2 linked regions of the Schizosaccharomyces pombe genome follow. Changing the gene in region 1 together with any one later gene gives a genetic interaction. Each region holds a gene or a part of one and is shown on either strand. Other genes may lie near its edges. The genes, in order: fip1 and abc3.

Region 1 (3,929 bases):
TGTTTTTAAGTCTTTTATTAAAATTTTGCTCATAATGAGTATTACGGGGAACAAATATGGTAAAGATGGATTTGAAGTGTTGTAAGTCAATGCACACATCAAAACAACGGCTTTTACTTGTTAGGTTTGTAAGTGAAGATTAATAAACTAGAAAGACATTTGAAAACTTGACAAAGTGTGAGAAACTTGTACATATACATATACATAAGTGGGTACATATATATTGGTGGATGGATGGATAGATAGATAGATATGCATTAAAGAAATGAATTATTAAAACAACCTGTGCTTTGACTAAATTAGGAAAAGAATAAAAGGGAAATATTGAAAGTTAGGACCCAAATAAAAAAAAAAGAAAATCAGGAAGACCCGGGGGAGGGAAGAATTTACCCATACAAGGTGACATTAAGCAAAAACAGCAAACGAATGCAAAGAGAGATATCAGTAGTGGGTTCATTTGCAAAGAGAAACAAAATCAATTGTAGGGGGAATTTGGGAAAGGAGGGGAAAAAAAGAATAACAAGATTTTTCGTTCAAGCATGACTACTTTAATGAGACTCACGAATTTCATTGATGACATCGACAGTTTTGTCGTCTTTATGTTCTTCGACGGGAGAAGAAGACTCGCGAACTTCGGTAACGATATCGATGGCTTTGTCGCCTTTATCATCGGTAGGAGAATTGATTTTGAATTCATCTTCAGAGGAGGAGGATTGCACGGGAGTGTGTGAAGAGGCAGCCTCCAAGTCGACAACTTTGTCGCCGAGCTTGGCAATAAGGAGTCTTGCAGCACGACGTTCCTTGTACCACATGAGGAACATGATGAAGGCTACGAAAAGCCAATAGATGATGTAGCTAAGGATGGAACCATAGGTACCAGTGTTGTTCCAACCTAGAATGGCATTGAAGATCATGTAACCACCATTGGAATTCATCTCTGGATTACCATAGTTGACGTGCCAAACGGCGGATTTGAAGGGATAGGAACCGGGACCATCACCGAGCTCACCAGCATCACCACCAGTTTGATGATTCCACTTATTCATTTCAAAGTAAAAGGTGGCCTTGGACATAAGACCGGCGGAGATAAGGTAGAGGATACATGTTGAGGCAATCAAGAACCATTGCAAGTTCATCACATTACCACCACGATAGATAAAGTAACCGATAAGACAACCAACGATGAGACCGCAAATGACTGGAAGAGGGAAAGCGGTGGCAGGTGTTTCCAAACCGACACCACCGACAAAGACGACGACTTCCAAACCCTCACGCAGAACGGTGAAAAAGGGAAGGAGAAACATGGAATACTTTTTACCCCAATTGGAGATACCTTTGGCCTTGCGATTGGCGATACTTTTCATAAGTTTCTTGCGCCATTTCTCCTGTAAATGCGAGACACGAAGCATAGCGAACCCCATTACGGTGATCAAGACGACAGCGATGAGAGAGAAGACACCTTCCCAAATTTCTTCGGAACCACTCCAAATATCTTTGTCGAGGGCATAAAAAGCACCGATAAAGCCACCGCCAATGGCTAAACAAATGAACAAAGCAGTAAACGAACCGATCCAAACCTGCAGCATAAATTTTCGCTTTAGTTTTGGATCCGTCACGTTTCCATCTTTATCCATGAGTGTTTGGGAGATGAAGGACATCAAGACTGAGACGATGATGGAAGCCTCAAGGGTCTCACGAAGGACGATGAAGAAGATAGCGACGGAAAAGACGTCTTTTGCCATGGTAGAGAAGGTGGGTAAAAGAGAAGAAAAGAAAGAAAGAGAGAGAGAGAGAAAAAAATAAAATGAAATAAATTTCAAACCTTTTCAATACGAATTGTATCCTTCCACAATTTGTCAACGGGTATAGAATGCGATGCAGTGCGATGCCTTTCAATTCAATGCAATGTAATGTACTTTGAATGTGCAAGTGTACAGTCGTTTCAAGCGATCCACTACAAAACTCAAGCCACAGGCCAATGTCCTTTGTCTCGTTCCTTTCACCGCGTTAGGGCAAACAGGCCGGGGGGAAGCATGCCCTTTTAATCTGTTTGACCCACTTCTTCCAGGCATCTGGATTACATCTGATAACTTTTGTCCAGATTGGTAGATAAGCAACCGATCAAAGTGGACACCAACTCCGACCCCAAAACTGTCCTATCTTGCCTTACCCTAAGGAGCATATCTGATGAATTATTCTGTTGTCAGAGACAAACTGGTCAATCTCATTTTTATCCGATATGGCGTCAAGAGGAGGGTGCGACCCCACCCACACCCTCCATCCTATATATACTCGGTTGGTGGGGCGAGCGGATTTCGATTTTCTACGCAAAGTACCGTAACTTAACTTACCGTAGCGTAGTGTTTGACTTGTGTTTGGATTGCTTTGGTGCTCGACTCGTTCACATATAGGCAGGTGAGAAGATTTTGCGAATTAAGGATTTGACGAACCGATCCATTAAAGTTGGTTAGAAGATCCACAATAGCTCACTAAGTGGTTGCGAATTTAGTTGGGTGCAGTTCGATATCGTGGTATAGCATCGTATCGTATCGTATCGTATCGCCATAGAAGAAAGCTGGTGGTTATTAAGTTGGGGGCCTTTGTCAGTGTATAAAGATATCAGATCAAGAATTTCAAAAGGCAAAACAATAGCTGGTCAAAGCGACGTTGAAATCGCAAGTCAACTTGTTGTAGGTTTTGTTGAAAAACGACTTGCTTATAAAGCCATCACTGGACAAACGGTAGCGATAAAAGTACACCCCCTTTCTTTTTTTTTCTGCTGTTTTTTCTGCCTTTCTCTCTCTTTGTTTTCATTTCTTTTTTTTCTGTTCTTTTTTTTTTTTAATATCTTTCCTTATTCTTCTTTTCTCTCTTGCGCGCTATAATGAATAAATTTTTCTCCTTCCCCATTCTCGGCCTTCTTCTTACATGCGTTCGCTTCGTCGTCGCCAAGGAACGCTTGTTTGAATGGAATGTCACAGACGTTTACGACGTCGACCCTGATGGATCGGGAAATTCCCGCTGGGTCATTGGTGTTAATAACAAATGGCCCATCGATCCCCTTGTCGTCGACTATGGTGACCAAGTCATCATCAAGATGACCAATTCCCTCGCCAATAATCGAACTACTTCTTTGCATTCTCATGGCTTGTTTCAAAAGTTCACTCCTTACATGGATGGAGTGCCACAAAGCACTCAATGCGAAATTCCTCCTGGTGCCACTTTTTACTACAACTATACCGCTTTGCAGAATGGCACCTACTGGGTTCATTCTCACGACATGTCCCAATACCCCGATGGCCTTCGTACCCCTTTTATCATCAACGCGTTGGAGGAGCCATACGATTACGATGAGGAGTATATCATTTCCATGACGGATTGGTACTATACTCCTTTCAACATTCTCGTGCCCGATGAATTTAAAACTTGGAAAAATCCCACCGGTGCCGAGCCAGTCCCCGATACCGGTCTTTTCAACGATACTGCCAACGCTACTTTTGCCATGGAGCCTGGTAAGACATATCGTTTGCGCTTCATCAACATTGGCGCTTTCAACAACTACGATGTCATGATCGAGGATCACAACATGACCATCATCGAAGTGGACGGCGAGTACACAGAGCCTCAAGAGGTTAGCTCCATCCACCTTACAGTCGCTCAACGTTACAGTGTGCTTGTGACAGCGAAGAATTCCACCGATCGCAACTATGCCATCACCGCTTACATGGACGAGTCGCTATTCGATACGATTCCCGACAATTACAACCCCAATGTAACGGCCTGGCTTTCTTACAATTCAGATGCTTCATACGATCTAGGGCCTGACATTGACGAAATCGATTCCTACGACGACGCAGAGTTGAATCCTCTCTATAGCTGGGATGTCACGGAATCCAATCATTCCATCAACATATGGTTTGACTTTTTCA
Region 2 (3,929 bases), on another chromosome or scaffold:
GCAGTGAGAGCTTGAGTTTTCCCATGGAAAATAATAAAGGCTCCAAAAGCAACAGTTGTAACAATAATGGTAGTAAAAATCCAGGCAAAATCACCAATTGCAGTGATGAAACCAATTTTTTTTAACATACTTAATTCTTTAGTATTTCTTATATGCAGTAGCTTCTGAAGGAATGGGGTTTCCCATGCATAAAGTTTAATACTGCGTATATTATTGATAATTTCGGTCATCAATTTGGAACGGGAATCTTTGTTTTTCATTAAAATACTTTGAAACTTCTTGTACACATTGGCGACAATAATGTTGCATGGAAATAGTATAACGGATGCAGCGACACCCGTAAAAGCGCTATATCCCATAAGGTGGTATAAATTTGAAAGAGCTAAAGCAATTTGAAATGGACCTGAAACAATAATGAATAAATATATCGGCAGATCACTTATTTTTTGAGTATCGACAGCCATGTAATTTATTATATCACCAATAGATCGATTTTGGCGTGCTGAACTTGATAGAAGAAGAGATTTACGATAAATAGATGCAAGTAGTTCCGTTTTCCATCTCATTCCAAGCAACATAATAAGCTGATTATATTGTTGTAGTAATAAAGTTTGGAGGAAATTAGCGACAAGAACCAAGATAGCGATTATAAAACCTCTACTTGGGGATTCAGGATTGGGAGAAGTATAAGAACTAATAAAGAGAATGGTTTTCTGAATCAATGTTGGCTGAACAAAAGCAAGTACATCTTGAATCAACTTTGTGATGGTAATTAGAGCTACAAGTTTCCAATGATTAAAAAATAAAAGTTTCCATAAAAACAGACTTCTTCGTTTATTCTTCGAATGGTATATCCACCAGTCTTCAAAACCAATTATTAAATTGCCAGATCGCTCATCTGGAGGAAGTAGCCAAACATCAGATTCCTTTAAATAGTTAGTGTAACCAAATTTTATGAAAGAACTGATCCAAGAAAATGATAACTTTGAGAATATGTTCGCATATCGAACTTCAGAAGGTCTTATCCCCTTCTCTTCAACTTCGTTTGTATCATCAGAATACCAGACACGATTGCAAGGCGGGACATAAACCTCACTAATAAAGCATACGAGCGAGCAGAACAGAGTAATTAAAGTAAGCAACCGAGCCATACTGGTAATTGCAATATAGGGACTGAACAACAAAATCAAAAGTGAGGTAACTACTTTCAGAAGCCAAAATATCAATAGAGAAGCCATGGGAACTCTTAGAGTTGATTGCTCAGCAAACTGTAAAAATAATACGAAACAATAAGTTACAACTGAAAAAAAATTCCACCCGATGTTTTTTGTCTTATATCCCACATATATTTGTGTAATAATAACAAGTGCTATCGAAAAGAACTTCATCCAGATGGTCCAAAATTGCGAAAAGTGAGGACGAAAGATCCGTCTCCTAACGTCAAAAACATATTGTAAGCCCCCGCTAACTAAAGCGAATAAATTTGGGATAAGCAAAACCAGAGACAAGCCTTTGTTTGCGGTGATCATTACATGTATACTTATCCAAATACTTTATTAAAAGCGATGCTTAAGTCTTTCTATACAGGGCTAAGTAGAGTAATCGGAGCGCTATGTAGGATTCAAAATAAAGTTAATGTTAGGATATCAGATCACCATCTATAAAAGTGTTGGTAGTTGACTAATAACGTTTGCGCTGAATCTCATTATGTTGCTTAATAACATCTGATAAATTAATCGGAGTTAAATATTCTTGAACTCGGAGTTTAGATTCGACACCGGTCAAGTGTCTTCAGTCCATTAGGAAGGGCAAGCAAACCTCTAATTCACTGTTGTAGATGTGTTCTGTAATCAATAAAAGAGAAGACCTTGAAAGAATACCTACTGAGATTTTTTCATATTTTGTAGTTTTATGAAACGATATCATTTTAGAAATATCAAACTTTTAGATATAAACTATAGTTATGATTCTCGTCTTATAAACGCACCTGGATGTCTAGCGTTCCATCTAAAGTGAAACTTTGCGCATCTTAGCAATGTTTATCACGTTAAAAATTTCGAAGTTAATAAAACAGAAAAACTCGTCTATAGTACTTTCTCTAGTTTCAATAATACTTTATGTCAACAAGCAAAGCCTTAACTGAGGTGGTAAAAGACGACAAAGGAAGTCCTAAGATTAGGAAAAGTATAAGTATCCAGTATATAAAATTTTATAACTATAATTCTTTTCCAAAATAAAATCAAAAACAAACTAAATATAAAATGAAGCATAATTTCAGCTGTTTATTCGAAGATTGTCATCTTTGTGAAGTATGGATTAACATAAATTAGGCCTCACAACAATTAGTTGAACTCACTTGAATAAAAATTCTTACGAATGCAAATTTTGATCATTTGCATTAATTTTATATTCTTGATTGTAAACAAAACTAGTTAGGAAATTATAATGCTGAAGAAGAAGTAAAAAATATTTGATAATTCGATAACATAATAAATTGCTTGCTTTCTTTAAGATTTTCCCTATTTTTGTTCAATTTAAAAAAATGGGAAACAAAAGAAGAAAAGAAATTGATTCTATGTTTGTGTAAATATTCCTAAGCTTTTTATTTTTTATTAGCAAAAGTTAGTAACTTAGGATCTTCAAATTGCTTCAAGAAAAGTTTAAATAGTAAACAATACTCAAATTGACAAAAATACTATTAATATATATTACAAATCAATGATTTTCTGCTTGAAATGCGAAGATCTTAGTTTGTTAGCTTTTATAAGTTTGATATAAATAGACTGGTAGCTATATTTAGTAAGACAGACGTATTATACCATTTTAGCATTCAAAACAAAAACTAAGTGCTTCAATGACTATTTCCCCTTTTTAATAAGTTCAAACTAATGAGAACGGTCGTTGTTATTACCCCAGCCAATTTGCTTCCCGACGTTGCAAAATATCGAAATGTCTTTCTTTATGATTTTTTCTCCAATGACCCTACCTTGTTATTTTAGTCTGAACGGTCGAGCACCGCTACATGCTTAAGTTCATTGATATGTCTAATCAATTATGGTAAGCATAACTGCCAGCTACTCAACTAGAGAGCTGCCGAAGAAGAAGTAGTTCAATAATAAAAGGGTTCGACCTCTGATCTGTGCCATATAAATTTAGCAACAAATTTGAAAAGGTTAAACCCAATATACTAAAACGAGAACACAACAGATATCATTTACATAACTCGTGATTGTATCAAAGAAATCATAATTCAATCAAACTTCGATATCAATCGTAGATCCATGGGTAAGGCATAAACGAAATAATCTTAAATGGAAGAGATATTTGCAGGATATGTGCTTTTATGAAAAGCGCAGCATATTATGTAGGAACATCTCGTGGTAAGACTGGGATAATGCTTTGAAAAGATGAAAATAATAATACCGTAAAAACTTTCGACTAGTGAAAATTTTTTTAAATGATTTGTGAGAGTCTCTGAGTTTCTATTCATTCACTTAACAATACCATCAACGTTCTTCCTATCAATTTCCCCAGTTGCTCGTTTCCCTCTTCCCCTCATTTCCCACAAAAATTTATTATCCCTTCCAATGCTATCATCCGCTTTTTCCTACTACTTACTCCTCAATATCCTTATGTGAGAGAATTCCCTACCGAACTTCATTTTTATTTACCGAATGCAGCTGTAATACCCTTTCAGGTTTACGTACTTCCGCTTTCGTTAGCACCAATCGTTAAATTCGCGTGGGAGAATTTTGCTTCGTTAAGGTACTCAGAGTTTTAACGTTTTTCGCTAAATCTACTTTTAGTGTAAGGAAATGATGGCTTTTGTTAGCTTATTTTCTAAGCTAGAAGGTCTGTTTATTACTTAAGTAATAAAAACGAAATTAATGATTTGTCAACTAACGATGCATCCCCAATACTTAGCAGAT

What was found.
Region 2: mutations in fip1 (region 1) and abc3 impair growth when combined (synthetic growth defect), as found in Schizosaccharomyces pombe (one study listed by BioGRID).

Annotation. Positions count from the first base shown.
Region 1 is NC_003424.3:4,232,755-4,236,683, forward strand, and holds fip1 (Fe permease Fip1), read right to left. Parts: upstream 2,015-3,929; 5' UTR 1,743-2,014; coding exon 549-1,742; 3' UTR 244-548; downstream 1-243. Other genes in the region: Fe transporter/Cu oxidase Fio1, read left to right, coding at 2,885-3,929. UniProt on the Schizosaccharomyces pombe protein: Permease for high affinity iron uptake.
Region 2 is NC_003423.3:120,347-124,275, reverse strand, and holds the start of abc3 (multi drug resistance-associated protein abc3), read right to left. Parts: upstream 1,635-3,929; 5' UTR 1,530-1,634; coding exon 1-1,529. UniProt on the Schizosaccharomyces pombe protein: Iron-regulated vacuolar transporter that mobilizes stored heme from the vacuole to the cytosol in response to iron deficiency.